Elephas maximus indicus: one gene and its partner. The protein of the gene in region 2 interacts with the protein of the main gene of each other region in a pairwise test. Links are inferred from orthologs where the notes say so. Each region holds a gene or a part of one and is shown on either strand. Other genes may lie near its edges.

Region 1 (7,811 bases), on a different chromosome or scaffold from region 2:
AAGCCCATAAGCTGGAGATCATCATCGCCCCATTTCACAGTTGGGGAAACTGAAGATAGGGATGCTAGTGAGGAACAGAGTTAGGATCTGGACCCAGGCAATGTAGGTTCAACACTGTGCTCTCAGCAGGGACGGGGATGGGAAAATGGCTGAGGCGAAGGGAGAAGGGTGACTGAGCTTCCAAGCAGAAAGCCCTTGGCCATCCGGACAGACACTGTCCTGGCATCAGGACAGATGTATCGCCCAGGATGTCTCATGTCCTTTGGTGGGCTCTGGACTGGCCAGGCGCAAGCCATGGACTTAGGAAGTGATAACTCTTGGCTGTGGCCAGCACAAGGCCCAGGGTAGAGGAAGTTGTGGGCCAGAGCTGGGTTTGAGCTGATTGGGAACCAGAGTGGTGCAGGCTCTGCAAACACCAGGGTCAGTGGCACTGGGGTTGGGGCAAAAGCTGGAGGCTGTACACCAGGTTGGCTGGGAGTGGGGAGAGGATTTTGCAGCAGCTCTGGGTGGTAAGGCCTCTGCAGAGAGGGCTGAACTCACCTCAGGTGACCCCGAAACTCACAGCAGAGGATGAGCATCCCCTTCTCCCTCCCCCAGCCCCTCACCTCACTCCCACTTCTCCTCCCACCTCCTGGGTTCCATGCCTCAGCCTCTCAGCCTCTCTCTCCTCTTTTCTCCGCATTCTTCCCGAAACAGCTGGGAGAGGACAGTGATGGGGGCTGGGCTTTCGGCCTGGCACAGTGAAAAAAACAGCGATCTCATGTCTCAGAGACTGGGTGGTGCATAGTAGGTGCTCCATAAATGTTGCTGAACAGAGGCCCAGAATGAGCCCTGGGAACAACACTGTTGGGGCCAGGAGAGGAGAGGAGAGGAGAGCGCTGGGGGCTTGGGCGGTGGAGGAGAGGCCTCTGCAAGAGCAAGGAGGGTCTAATAGTGGCCCTTGTACCTCTCCTCACTCCCACCTTCCCCTCCTCATTTGGGGACACCTGCCCCTGCCCACAGCACCACTGCCTCCCCTCAGGTTCTCTTGGGGGAGCCCTCTGCCCCTAACCCCACCTGCATCCCTCAACTCAGAGAAGCCTGTGTGCAAGTCCCTCCTCTGTGAAGCCTGACCTCTCTGGGCCTCATCTGTGAAATGGGGTGACAGATGGGTGAGTGAGTCTCTGAAGCATCTCACGGTCATCCTCCCGCTGGCAAATGAAGTATGACAGTAATAGTAACAGTTGACATTTATTGAGTACCTACAGTTTGCCCAGGAGCCTTGCCAAGTGGTTTTCAGGCATTGCCCCATTCATTGTTAAAACACCCCCATGGGGCATGGTTAATTGTTATCCCCATTTTATGGGTGGAGCCTCACCCAGGGAGTCAGATAGATTTGCAGCCCGTGCCTCAGGAGGATGGAGGTTGAAGGAGAGAGCACGTATATTTTGAGTATGTGTGTTTAAATGAGAGCGCTGGAAGGAGATGAAAGGAGGAGTGGGGGACTTGGGAAATTGCCTGATGGAGGAGAAAGAACACTGGGCCAGGAGGATTTGGGACAAGATCTAGAGTGCCTTGAATGCCAGGCTAGGAACCCTCAGGGTTTTCCTGGTTAAGATCTAGCCTTCAAGTACCTAAGTGAACCCTGGGGTGGTTGAAGGGTGGGCAAAGAGCTTCCTTTCCAGCCAAGCTGGCCCCCTTCCTTCCTTCCTCCCCTACCAGCCTGCCACATTCCCACCTCCTCCAGCCCTTGCTCACACAGCCCCTTTCCCCCAGGGCACACGCTTGACAAATAAGGAAACAGGAAACTGAGGACCAGAGATGTGGCATGACCTATTCTCCTTCCCCAGCTCCGGGATTGGAGGAGTCTGGTCGCAGGAGGCCGGCTCACTCACCAGTAAGGAAGGGGAAGTGAAGCTTTTTATAACTGGGAATAATTAATTGGTTGTTGCCTGTGACTCATTACTGTAATGCTGCCAATTAAGGACTTTTTATGACAGAAGATTTTTCTCAGGCTGTCCCCACAGGACCTCCTGAAGACATCGTATCTGTGGGAGGGAGCACAGTGTCAAACCCAGCTTCTCTATAGCAAGAGAGATATAGGTCAGACACCTGGAGGAACTTCCCAGCCAGAGACACTGAAGGAGACAGGACAGTGAGAGTCGATGCTCTCTGGCATTTCTATACCATCTTTTGCCTTTTGATTCAGGCTGTTTTAAGCTTATTTGATCCCCTCCAGGAAAAGTATGTGATTTACTCAAGCTGAGGAGCTGAAGGCCCAGCCTTCATTGCCCCCTGCTTGCAGCCCCATCCTGTATCCTCTCCCCTATTTCACACAGCCTTGTCTGGGATTCAATGGTTATTTATTCAATCAACAACCCTGCTGTGATGTCTGCTCTGGTCCTAGCCCTGCGATGGGCCCTGGGTCACAGTGGATCAGACCTGGTTCTCCCTTCTTTGGAGGGCTCCCAGGCTGGTGAGGGAGCAGACAGGAGCCAACACACCCAGACCACCCAGGGGGATCACTGTGGAGGCAGAGGGAAACACTACTGGGGCAGGGAGAGCCTCGAGGCTGAGCCCGTGCCCTACCAGAGCTGATATCTGAAAGGTGTGGGGAAGCTCAAGGCAGGAGGAACTGCATGTGTAATAATGTGTCTTTTGTTTAGGAACTGAAAGTAATTCAGCTGCAGTGTGGCTAGGGTGTAAGGAGCGGGGAGGTTCTGCCAAGTGGGCCCTGGAACCTCAAGGCTGAGCTGAGGAGCTTGGACTTCATCCTGGGCAACGGGGACCTGAGTCTGACTTGGGCTGTGGGAGGGCCGCACTGGTTACAGTGTGAAGAATGGCTTAAGGGCAGTTGAATAGAGGTGGGAGAGTAGGGAGCCACATGAGAAAAGCCTCGACTGGGGCCAGGGACAGTCACAGGGAAGTAGAATAGGGGAGGGCTTCTAGTGACACAGAGAGAGTATAGTCAACAGATTGGCTGTGGGCGAGAAGGAGGGTGAGAAAGAAGGTAGTCTAAGTGGAGTCCAGGGAGGGCACAGTCGGGTGGGTGGAATACACCCACTCCTCAGTTATTAACATGGTTAGGTTCCAAAGACTAGGTCATTATGCAAAAATGGAGGATAACCACATCAAATCACAAAATATTATGTGGGACACATATGTCCCTTTGGACCCAAGAGGCAGAAAACGTAGGTGGGCACTGTATGTCCCACTGGTCATAAAAGGATTATTACCAGAGGTACATCATCAATGTGCAAAATAGCCAGATATTGTTGTAAGTGCAAAATGTCAGATAGTGAGGTAGTCGATAACTGAGGCATAGGTGTATAGACAAAATCAATCTGCCCAGCCCCAACTGCCTACCTTCTATAATGGGAAACTCCCTCCTTCCGTGCAGGAAGACACTTGCTGCAAGGAAATCCATCAGCTCCTTTTCCACCCCTTCCTTCCACAACCTCTACACTGCCCCACTGAGCTTCTCCCCTTCCTAGTATATGCCTCACCCCTTCACAGCACCCTGCCTTTGCTCAGGCCATCACCTCTGCCTGGAATGCCCTTCTTCTCTGTCTCTGCCTCTCAAGGCTCTTTGCAAATGTCTCTTCCTCTAAGAAGTATCCCTCCCCCCTTCCTTCTCCATCCTTACCTCCTTTTCCCCCTCAGATCCCTTAGCACCTTGGGCCTGTGCCAGCTATGTGGATTGTGATTCTCTGTGTCTCCCACAGGGCCCTGAGTGCTTTGAGGGCAGAGATTGGGCCTGCCCCATGCCAGGGGCCTGGTTTGCCCAGTGAATGCCTAGAAGGATGGTTGAGCAGATGAGTTGAAGAATGAGGGAAGAAGCCAGTTAGGGAGTACACCTGCCATCTTGCTGACTTTGGGTGGGGAGGCAGGCCCCTGATGAGCTTGCTGTGCTCCCCTGCTCTCTCTCCTGTCTTCATCCATGACCCTGGTTTCCAAGGCCGGTGGGTGTCAGGTGGTCTGGGGAGGGTAGGTGTACATGTGTGGACAGGTGTGCGCAGCATTCTTAGCTCTAGCTTTTATGCCCTGGTGGTGGTTGACAGTGGAGAGGGTGCTGACTCAGCTGCAGGCCCCCTAGGCCACCCTTGGAGCTGGGTAAAGCTCTGCCAGTGGGCAGGAGGAGGGGGGTGAGTTTCCAGCTGGCTCCCCACCTTACTGTCCTATCACCCAACCATGTGAGTTTGTGTCAGGGGTGTCGGGCAGCCCCAAGCGGAGGGGTACTGTCCTGGAGGAGGGGAAGGATACTTCCTAACAAGGATTCTTCCTTCTGTTTGTACAGTTAGCAAAGCACTCTCCAGAATGTTAGTTCGTCTTGTGGGTACATCACTCAGGCATGGTACATCTGGAGAAACTGAGGCCACAGCTGCCCAGTGAGTGGCTCCAGGAACCACAGGAGTCAGCAACAGAGTGAGAGCCAGAATCCAGACCTCCTGTCCCCCCACCCCCTTCAGAACTCATTCTCTCCTCTCTTCTCCTTGGTCTTCTCTGGCACAGCAGCAGAGAGCAATAGAGGCAGACAGAGCTGGCCTCTGTCCCAGCTCTACCACCTGCTGTGTACCTGTGGCCTGTGTACCTGGGTTAGGGGCATCCCTGTCCTCCCAGAGCCCCTTTCACTACCCCCACCCCCTTGCAGCACTGACCTCCTGGAGTGGCATGGCCTGGTGACCTGCCTATCTGTCCTGAGGGCAGAGCTGGGTCCGCGTGTGTCACAGCAGACTTCCTGGAGTCCAGCACAGAGCCTGGCAGCATGGACTTGCCAGTCAACATCTGTTGAATCAAGAAAAGAGGTCCCTCTGCCTCTTGGAGTCTCAGCTCCCTCTCCTGAGGCATGGGGAGAGGAGTCACCCCCTTGGAGGAGTGGTAAAGAATTAGATCAGGTGGTCCACTTGAGAAAACCCTGGTGGCGTACTGATTAAGAGTTTGGCTGCTAACCAAAAAGTTGGTAGCGCGAATCCACCAGGTGCTCCTTGGAAACCCTACGGGGCTGTTCTACTGTGTCCTATAGGGTCGCTATGAGTCAGAATCAATTTGACGGCAATAGATTTAGTTTTTTGGTTTATGGTCCATGTGAATGCCTAGTCCATAGTAGAAGCCTTACCAACACAGTCTCCCTCGTCACATGTCGCTCACAGCCCTCAGCCCCAAAGCAGATTCACTGCAAGTCCTCCATGCATCACTCTATTTGACCTGTGCTGACTTCTGTATTTCTTGGTGAGAGTCAAGGCTGGAAGCCTACAGTCCTGGGTCCTGGTCTCCATAAACCCTTCTGTGCCTACAGGCCGAGGACTGGGCCAGATGACCTCTTAAAGAGTCTCTGACTCCCGGACCTGGGATTCCCTACTGATACCCTCTTTGCCATTCCTGCTTGGGTATCACAGCCCTGGAAGGGGACCATGGGGAGAGGGGTGGGGCACTGGGTCCACAGTGCTTTCTACCCCCTCCCCAGCTCTGGGAACAGAATACCGGGGTCTCTGCTCTTTAGGTAAGGCTGAGACAAAGCAAATCATAGCTCCATGGCTTCCTTGCTATAAGCCCAAAGCAAGGGAAGAGTGGATCCTACCTCGGAATCGGGGCGGGCTTTCTGGATGAAGCCGCCTTTGGGATGGACTCCAGGGTATGCTAATATTCAGCCAGATGCAGCTGACGTTCCTGGCTAAGGAAGCTTCAACCTGGACTCCAGCCCTGCCTCCACCACTGACTCAACGTGAGACCTTGGCCAAGTCCCTGAGCCTCTGGGCCCAACTGGCTTGTGGAGTAAGTGTAGACCTAAATCCACGTCCTGCCTAAGGGACCAGTTAGGTGAGGGATACGAGCGTGCCTTGTGTCCTGTATAAGAAGGAACCATCTCTCACACTCTGTGCCTTCCCTACAAACTTTAGAGTGACACCTTTCTCTTCACTGGTACTTTGGGGAAAGGGACCCAGCAGGGGCCAGAGTCAAGCCCTGAGCTTCCATTTTCCTGTCTCTAAGATGAGGGTGGTACTACCTTTTTGCAGGGTTGCTGTGAGGGTGAGAAAACGGAAGATGGTATTATTATGTCCAGGATGGACAGAAGAGGGGCTGGCAGGGCACCTGGTTTCTGCAATGCAAGAAGCTAAGGATTCATAGCAATCAAGACATGCTGTCTTTGGCCTTTGGGATCCCTGCACCCTACCTCCTTTTGAAATGGCCCTTAGGGGGCCTGGCATGGCCGCACTCCTCACAGGTGGCAGCAGCTAAGCCCCTGTTTTTGACCCTCCATGAGTGCCTTAAGCATCTGCTTAAGGATTGAGGATGGGGCAGAGGATGGAGGGCATCACCCCAGGGACTGCAGCCACCCTCCCTGAGACTTTGGCAGACCCTCTAAGGGGTTCTGGGATGGCACTTCCTCAGGGCCCCAAACTCCTCCACTCTGTGTCTCCCCTTGGATGATGCAACTCAAGGGGTGAGGGGTGGGGACAGAGAGTGCCAGGCTGGGCCTGATTTCATTTTCCTGCCTAACGAGCCGCTCTGAGTGCACCCCAGCAGAAGCAAGGGCAGGCAGAGACCTAATTGCCCAGCTCTCTGTAGCCCAGAAAAAATAAATCCAGCCTCTTAGGCTGTCAGGGCTGGGTTGGGGGTGGGGACTCTAATCCCCTCGCCTGCTCTGTCCTAATGCTATAATGCTTCTTAGACCTCCTCATGCCACCCCTCCCCCAAATCTCCTGGGGTCAGGGCCAGAGTGATCCTGGAGGGGCTGCACATCTCTCCCCCCTGGTGCTCCCTGCACCCTTCCCAGCTGACAGTCCTGGCTTTTCTGTGCATCTGTTGCCACATATGGAACTCAGCTAGGTTAGAACAGGCTGATGGCAGGAGGAGCTGGATGCCCGAGATTTGGCCCAGAGATGAGCAGACTCGGTGGGTAGGTGCCCCTCCATCTCTTTCTCCCCGTCTCTGCAGGGCTATATGGGGCTTAAGGTGTAGCTGGGCTCTGTGACCTCAAAGCAGAGCTGGGACCACGGCAGGGGTGGGGGGTGTGGGGGTAGGGGGGGAAGGGGCAGGCTCGGCCAAGTATCAGCCAGAGGGAGTACTTGGGTGAAGGGACTGCCTTGGGACAGGAGGACAGGCAAGAAAACCTAGAAACAAAGCCGCATACATAGGCCAATGTAGTGTACTGTAAACTAAGGTGGAAATGACTGCAGACATCACAAAGGATGTAGGGACAGCTGAGTACCCATTTGGTGAAAGTAAAATTAGATCCCTACCTCTTACCTCAAACCAAAATAAGCTCCAGATGGATTAAAAGGTATTTCTATTTTGAAACTGTTTTTTCCTGTTCAGAAAAATAGCACACATTTGTTGAGAAAATTCAAAGAATTTGAAAAGAGATAAAGTAAAAGAAATCCTAGCCTTAATGATATACAAAACCCATAGAGACAAGCATTTCAAGCCTTTCTCCATACACGGGTGCATTTATATGGAGCTATCGTTGGGTGGATGGGTTACAATTTTTAAAATGCTGAAAAATTACCAGTATAAAATATGAGTTAAATATATAAATTTGAGCCACCTTTCTTAAGCACAATATCAAAGGCAAAAACTGTAAAGAAAAGAGAGATTTGTCTTCACAAAAATTAAACATTTGAGTACAAAAAGCTTTAAAAACTAAAACTCAAGTGATTAAAAAAAAAGACTAAAAGTAGGTTAATATTCTTACATAGTTTTTATAATCCCATAAGAAAAGAAGCTAATTCCCCCCAACAAAACCCACCTTGCTCTGTGCATTACACTCTGCTGCTCGTTCCCCCTGCCTGGATTGAGGCTCTCAACCTTGTCATCCCAGCAAGTCAATTCCT
Region 2 (5,248 bases):
GTGAACAACTGCTAACTGAAAGATTGGTAGTTCAAAACCACCAGCGTTCTGCTGGAGAAAGATGTGGCAGCCTGCTTGGAAACCCTATGGGGTCGCTATGAGTTGGTATCAACTCAACAGCAGTGGGTTTGGTTTTTTGGTTTTCAGTATACTTTTTGCATAGCCCATAGATGCAGAGGTGTATCTGAGGAAAATGGAGCCTATGCAAGCACTAATTTTGCCCCTGTCCAAACATCTGACACCCATCTTCTAGATAACTTTATCATAATATCAGCTCAAAAATACAAGTCAAGCTCATTAACCTTTTACTTAACACATTATGGCACTACATGAAAATGACAACTATTCCTTGCTTTCACTCGTGAAAACTGATCTATGATGTGCTCAAAGTCATTTCTTTCTGTTTCTTCTCCATCTCAGCGTAGCAAGATCACACAGTTTGCCTTGACTCATGGAGCCTCTCAAATACCAAACTACTATTTTCAACTTGCTGAATGATCTCTCACAGCTGGCGAAGGAAACTACTGAGATGGTTAATAGAAACTGCTCAGTGGTGCCACCCCCTCCACATGGCACCCAGGGCACATGCCATGCCTGCCATACCTTGGATACACCTCTGCCTGAAGTCTCATCCTCTTCCCCAAACGGCCGGTTGTTTCTTCCCATTCTTAAGAATTAATTTCAGATGCCAACTTTTAGGTAATGCCAATGAGTTCTGTTTGTCCTCCTCTGTACCCCTCTTAGAGAATTTATGCTCCTGTATTATCACACACACAAGGTTGAACGTGTCTGGAGAGCAGAAGCCAGTTATATCTGGGTATCATCCCCAGCATCTTTCGCAATGTTTTACACATCCTTGATGTTCAATAAACATCTGCTGAATGAATGACATGCCTGTCAGTTATGGTCATACCCTCACTATGTATCACGCTCTGAGGATTCTTTGTATCCAACAGAGAGAGATTAGGGGTTCTATAGAGTAAGAGAGGGAAGGACCTTTGGCTCATTAAAGAAAAAGCAATAAAGTAGGTAAACCTGTAGTTTACAGGTACCTGCAACGATGTAGGTGTCAGGCTCTTGCTTATAATAGAAAAGAGCAGGCATACTAATGAGATACCTGTTGTGCCCAAATAAACCCTTCCATGTTAGTGGCATAGTCACTCTTCAGTAACGTCAACTCAACATGTATTATTTTAAGGTAGAACTTATATTTGGGGGACTTCATTTTCTGAAATGCTGTAGATATTTTCAAAGTGTTACTTATCAATAATAAGAAAAAATAGGGTCTCATGGATGATACTCTTTGGGAGGGAGTAGAGATGCAAAAAATAAGATAACAACAACAAGAACAGATTATCTTCAGTGTTTTGCAGTTTACATTAATTTTGTATTATATCTCAATATATTTAATCCTAAAAATAAAACTAAAAAATAGATATTATTAATATTCCCATTTTTTCCCAGAAATAATACTGGTTGGTAATTGGGGTTCAGGGAGATTACGCAAATTGTCCAGGGTCACACAGCTAGTAAATGACAGTATCAATACATTCAACATAGTGCCATATTTCATACTGAAAGGAAAAATGTTTCATTGGTCAAGAAGCCTTTATTCAAAGGTTTCGCTTAATATCAATTACTACACCTTTCTAAATTTCAAATTTTCGCATAGGAACACTTGGAAGAGTAAAATGTACTATATAAATTTGTGAGGATAAAGTGACATTTCACGCATGGCTGTGAACACCACAAGGTCTATCACATAGTAGGCAATAAATAAATGCTGGTTCCCTCTTCTGCAGTCTTTCTCCTCATAGAAAAACACTCGTATATATACAAGCACCAACTGTCGTCGAGGCAACCCTGACTCATGACTACCTATGTGTGCCAGAGTAAAACTACTCCTCAGGGTTTTCAATGGCTGAATTTTTGGAAGTAGATCACCAGGCCTTTCTTCTGGGGTGCCTCTGGGTGGGCTCATAATTCCAACCTTTAGATTAGCAATTGAGTGTGCTAATCATTTGTATCACCCAGGGACTCCATGCCTACATATATTGTTGTTGTTAGCTGCCATTGAGCTGGCTCCCACTCTGGCTACCTTTTGTGTAACATAACGAAATGTTTCCTGTTCCTGCACCATCTTCATGATCTTTGGCGTGTTTGAGTCCATTGTACTACATATATAATACGTATACATACAGAGACATACTTACACGGGTGTCAAAATGATATAGGTCTTAGGCTCTTGCTTATCATAGAAAAGAGCAGGCATAAAGTATTGATGCACAATTTTGACAATCATTCAGTTAAAGATGGCTTTACCTATTACTAACGCCATTCAGCTGATGCAACCAGGATTTCACAAGAAGGCTCCATCAGCTGGGTACAAACAGTGTCAGACAGGTGACGAAGGCCTGGGGCTATTGAAACACATTAGATACAAATCATGAAAGGGTAATAGCCTCCAAACTAAAATACCGAGATAATTTCCACATGTTGGGACAGAACCTCAGAGACTATAATTTTCTCTTCATCTTTTTACCTCTGGTAGCAAAATCAGCCTGTATTGCCTCATAGGCAATTCATAAATTCTTCCCCCTCTGGACTGAGAAAGACTTGATAAGAGTAGGTGGGTTCAATGAACACTAAAGTAGAAGAAATTTTGTAACATAAATTGAATTTTTAGCCAAAGGGAATTGGAACTGAGATTCAGCAGATAATTTAAGTTCACGCTAAAGTAGCCACCGTTGTCCCTGGATTTGCAGGTATATGGAAAACAGAGTTGGACCATTGAAAATAAGCCAAATCATGCATTTTAAAACCTCCTTGCCATACAATTTATTCCCAAGTAGCCTCCAAAATACTCATACTTAGGAAGGCTATACTTTTAGCCTGTTGCTATTGCCTGTAAAAAAAAAAAAAAAAAATACAGTTAGAACACCTCTTTTTAAATTAATGTCAGGACCAATGTAGGAAGCAAAACCAAATCCATGTCTTAATCATTATATCTTATTTTTGACCATAAACAATAATTTGCAGCTGGAATATAAGTACACCATAAAATGAATAAGCTTAAAAAATCACAAAAAAAATCATGTCACCAAACTTTCTTTAAAGAGTTCTGCTTATCTGATTTTGCTCAGGGCAGGGTCAGTAATTGTAAATGAGCCCAACTATTATTTATATTAAACAAAATATTGCAAACAAAAACCAAGCTTACAGCTTGACTTAGCATTTTTTTTAATTGAACTGAATAGATTGAACACAAATTTTGTGAATCAAGATGTTTTGATGGAAAGTCACTTCCTACCAGGATTCTGAAATAAAACAAAAAACTGGGCACATGGACTTTTTCTATATTATAAAAACAAACAAACACACTGCTGTTAGGTGAATTCTGACTCATACCGACCCTGTAGGACTGAGTAGCGCTGCCCCATAGGGTTTCCAAGGAGTAGCTGGTGGATTCAAACTGCTGACCTTTTGGTTACCAGCCGAGCTCTTAACCACGGCCCTGCCAGGGCACCATATCATAGTACTTTCAAGCTCTTTCTGCTCTAAACCTTATAGGTTATAGGATTGCCCACTTTCTTTTTCAACACATTTGCTTCCAAGTTACTTACTTCAGCAATTTCCAAAATGAATAGAATTCTCCTTGTCGGAGAAACAATTGCCACTGTTTCAAAGATGTTTCCTACAATTTTTAAAGACTATTCTAAGACAGGAATTCTGGGAATGTTTGTCCAGTGGTGGTTATCATTGGAATAAGTATATGGCCTCTAAAATGTCTGTTTTCTTTGGATGATTTAAGAAGGAAAGATTCTATTAAAATTTTAGCTACACTGGTTTATAGCCATTCTTTATCGAGGGGAAGCTTTGCAAGAAACATTGGGTTTTATGGGAGGGGGTAGTGCCAATTTCTGAGCTATAATGATGAGTTCTGATGCAGACTTCATACAACAAGGAAGAGAGTCTGAATACAGAACCACCGCCTGCTAGGGATATATAAGGGTCAAACCAAGTGAGGGCACAGTCAAACTCGAGACACTTACTTCTTTCTACTCAACCACAGCCTGCTCTAGAAACCTCACTATGTCTTGCCACAACTACTGCTCTGGAAACTATAGCTCAGGATCCCTCAGGAATATCTGCCATATTCCTGTCACCTCCTCCAGTGCCCTCTGCTCTACCAATGTGAGCTATGGAGATGCCTTCTGCCTACCCAGCAGCTGTCAAGGCAGTTCCTGGCTCCTGGACAACTGCCAAGAGACCTGCAGTGAACCAACCAGCTGCCAGCCAGCCAACTGCGAGCCCAGCAACTCTTGCTGCCCTTCCACTGCTTACTATGTGCCCAGACCCTGCCAAGGAACCAGCTTTCTTCCTGTATCTTCTTCCATCTCAAGCTCTTGCTTCCCAGTCTCCTGTAGACCTCTGAGCTATGTGCCCAGTGGCTGCCGTCCATTGAGTCCTCTGCTCTACAACAGCCATCTCTTGGGCTGTGCACCCATTGGCTATCGACCACTGAACTGTTTGCCCAACAGCTGCCGACCCCTGAGCCTCCTCACTTACGGATGCCAACCCTTGAGTGGTTTGGCCTGTGGTTTGCAACCATTTAGCATTGTGTCCAGCAGCCTCAGACCCCTGAGGCCTCTCTCCAGTGGTTGCCAACCTCTTGCCCATGTTTTCAGTACTTGTCGTCCGTCTTGCTCTGCACTGGGGTACTAGTAGCCTGCTCATTCCAGAGAACAACGATGCTGAGAAACCTGGACCGAAATTCACACTCTGGGGACTTTTTGCTTCTTTATTCGTAGTGACAGTTTTTTCTCAGTTTTACTCTGCCTGATCAAATGCAAGTTGCTCATTTCATAATCTTTATTCTAGTCATTTCTCTTTGACATAAAATAATTGGTTTATGTGCTGTTCAATGTCACTCAGGTGTGGAAAAATTATTTGGTTCGTATTGTAATAAATTAGATTAAGTCACAATTATGTATCTGGGTCATCATTGTGTCTTTGCTTATTTTATCGTAACACAGAAATTACCAACCTGCACTGCTTATAAAACAAGTGAGTAGGACAGGTGACACACAACCTTACGTTCTTACCTGACAGCAGGGGAATAGCTCGATGGCTTATTCCTCAAGCTACCTTCTAGATCTCTGAGCCTATGAACTTGAAAAATGGAAAAAGACCTTGGTGGAATTTATTTTGAGAAGGCAAGACTAGGGATCACCTCTGTCAGCCCTCT

Evidence for each region.
Region 1: the proteins of keratin-associated protein 26-1 (region 2) and GDPD5 interact in a two-hybrid assay, tested with the Homo sapiens proteins (2 studies listed by BioGRID and IntAct). The two-hybrid records come from large-scale screens. The link is inferred for Elephas maximus indicus from reciprocal best matches to the Homo sapiens genes KRTAP26-1 and GDPD5.

The regions. Positions count from the first base shown.
Region 1 is NC_064825.1:47,044,067-47,051,877, forward strand, and holds the start of GDPD5 (glycerophosphodiester phosphodiesterase domain-containing protein 5), read left to right. Parts: upstream 1-4,790; 5' UTR 4,791-5,613; coding exon 5,614-5,751; intron 5,752-7,811. UniProt on the Homo sapiens protein: Glycerophosphodiester phosphodiesterase that promotes neurite formation and drives spinal motor neuron differentiation.
Region 2 is NC_064836.1:31,370,237-31,375,484, forward strand, and holds keratin-associated protein 26-1, read left to right. Parts: upstream 1-4,092; coding exon 4,093-4,725; downstream 4,726-5,248. UniProt on the Homo sapiens protein: In the hair cortex, hair keratin intermediate filaments are embedded in an interfilamentous matrix, consisting of hair keratin-associated proteins (KRTAP), which are essential for the formation of a rigid and resistant hair shaft through their extensive disulfide bond cross-linking with abundant cysteine residues of hair keratins.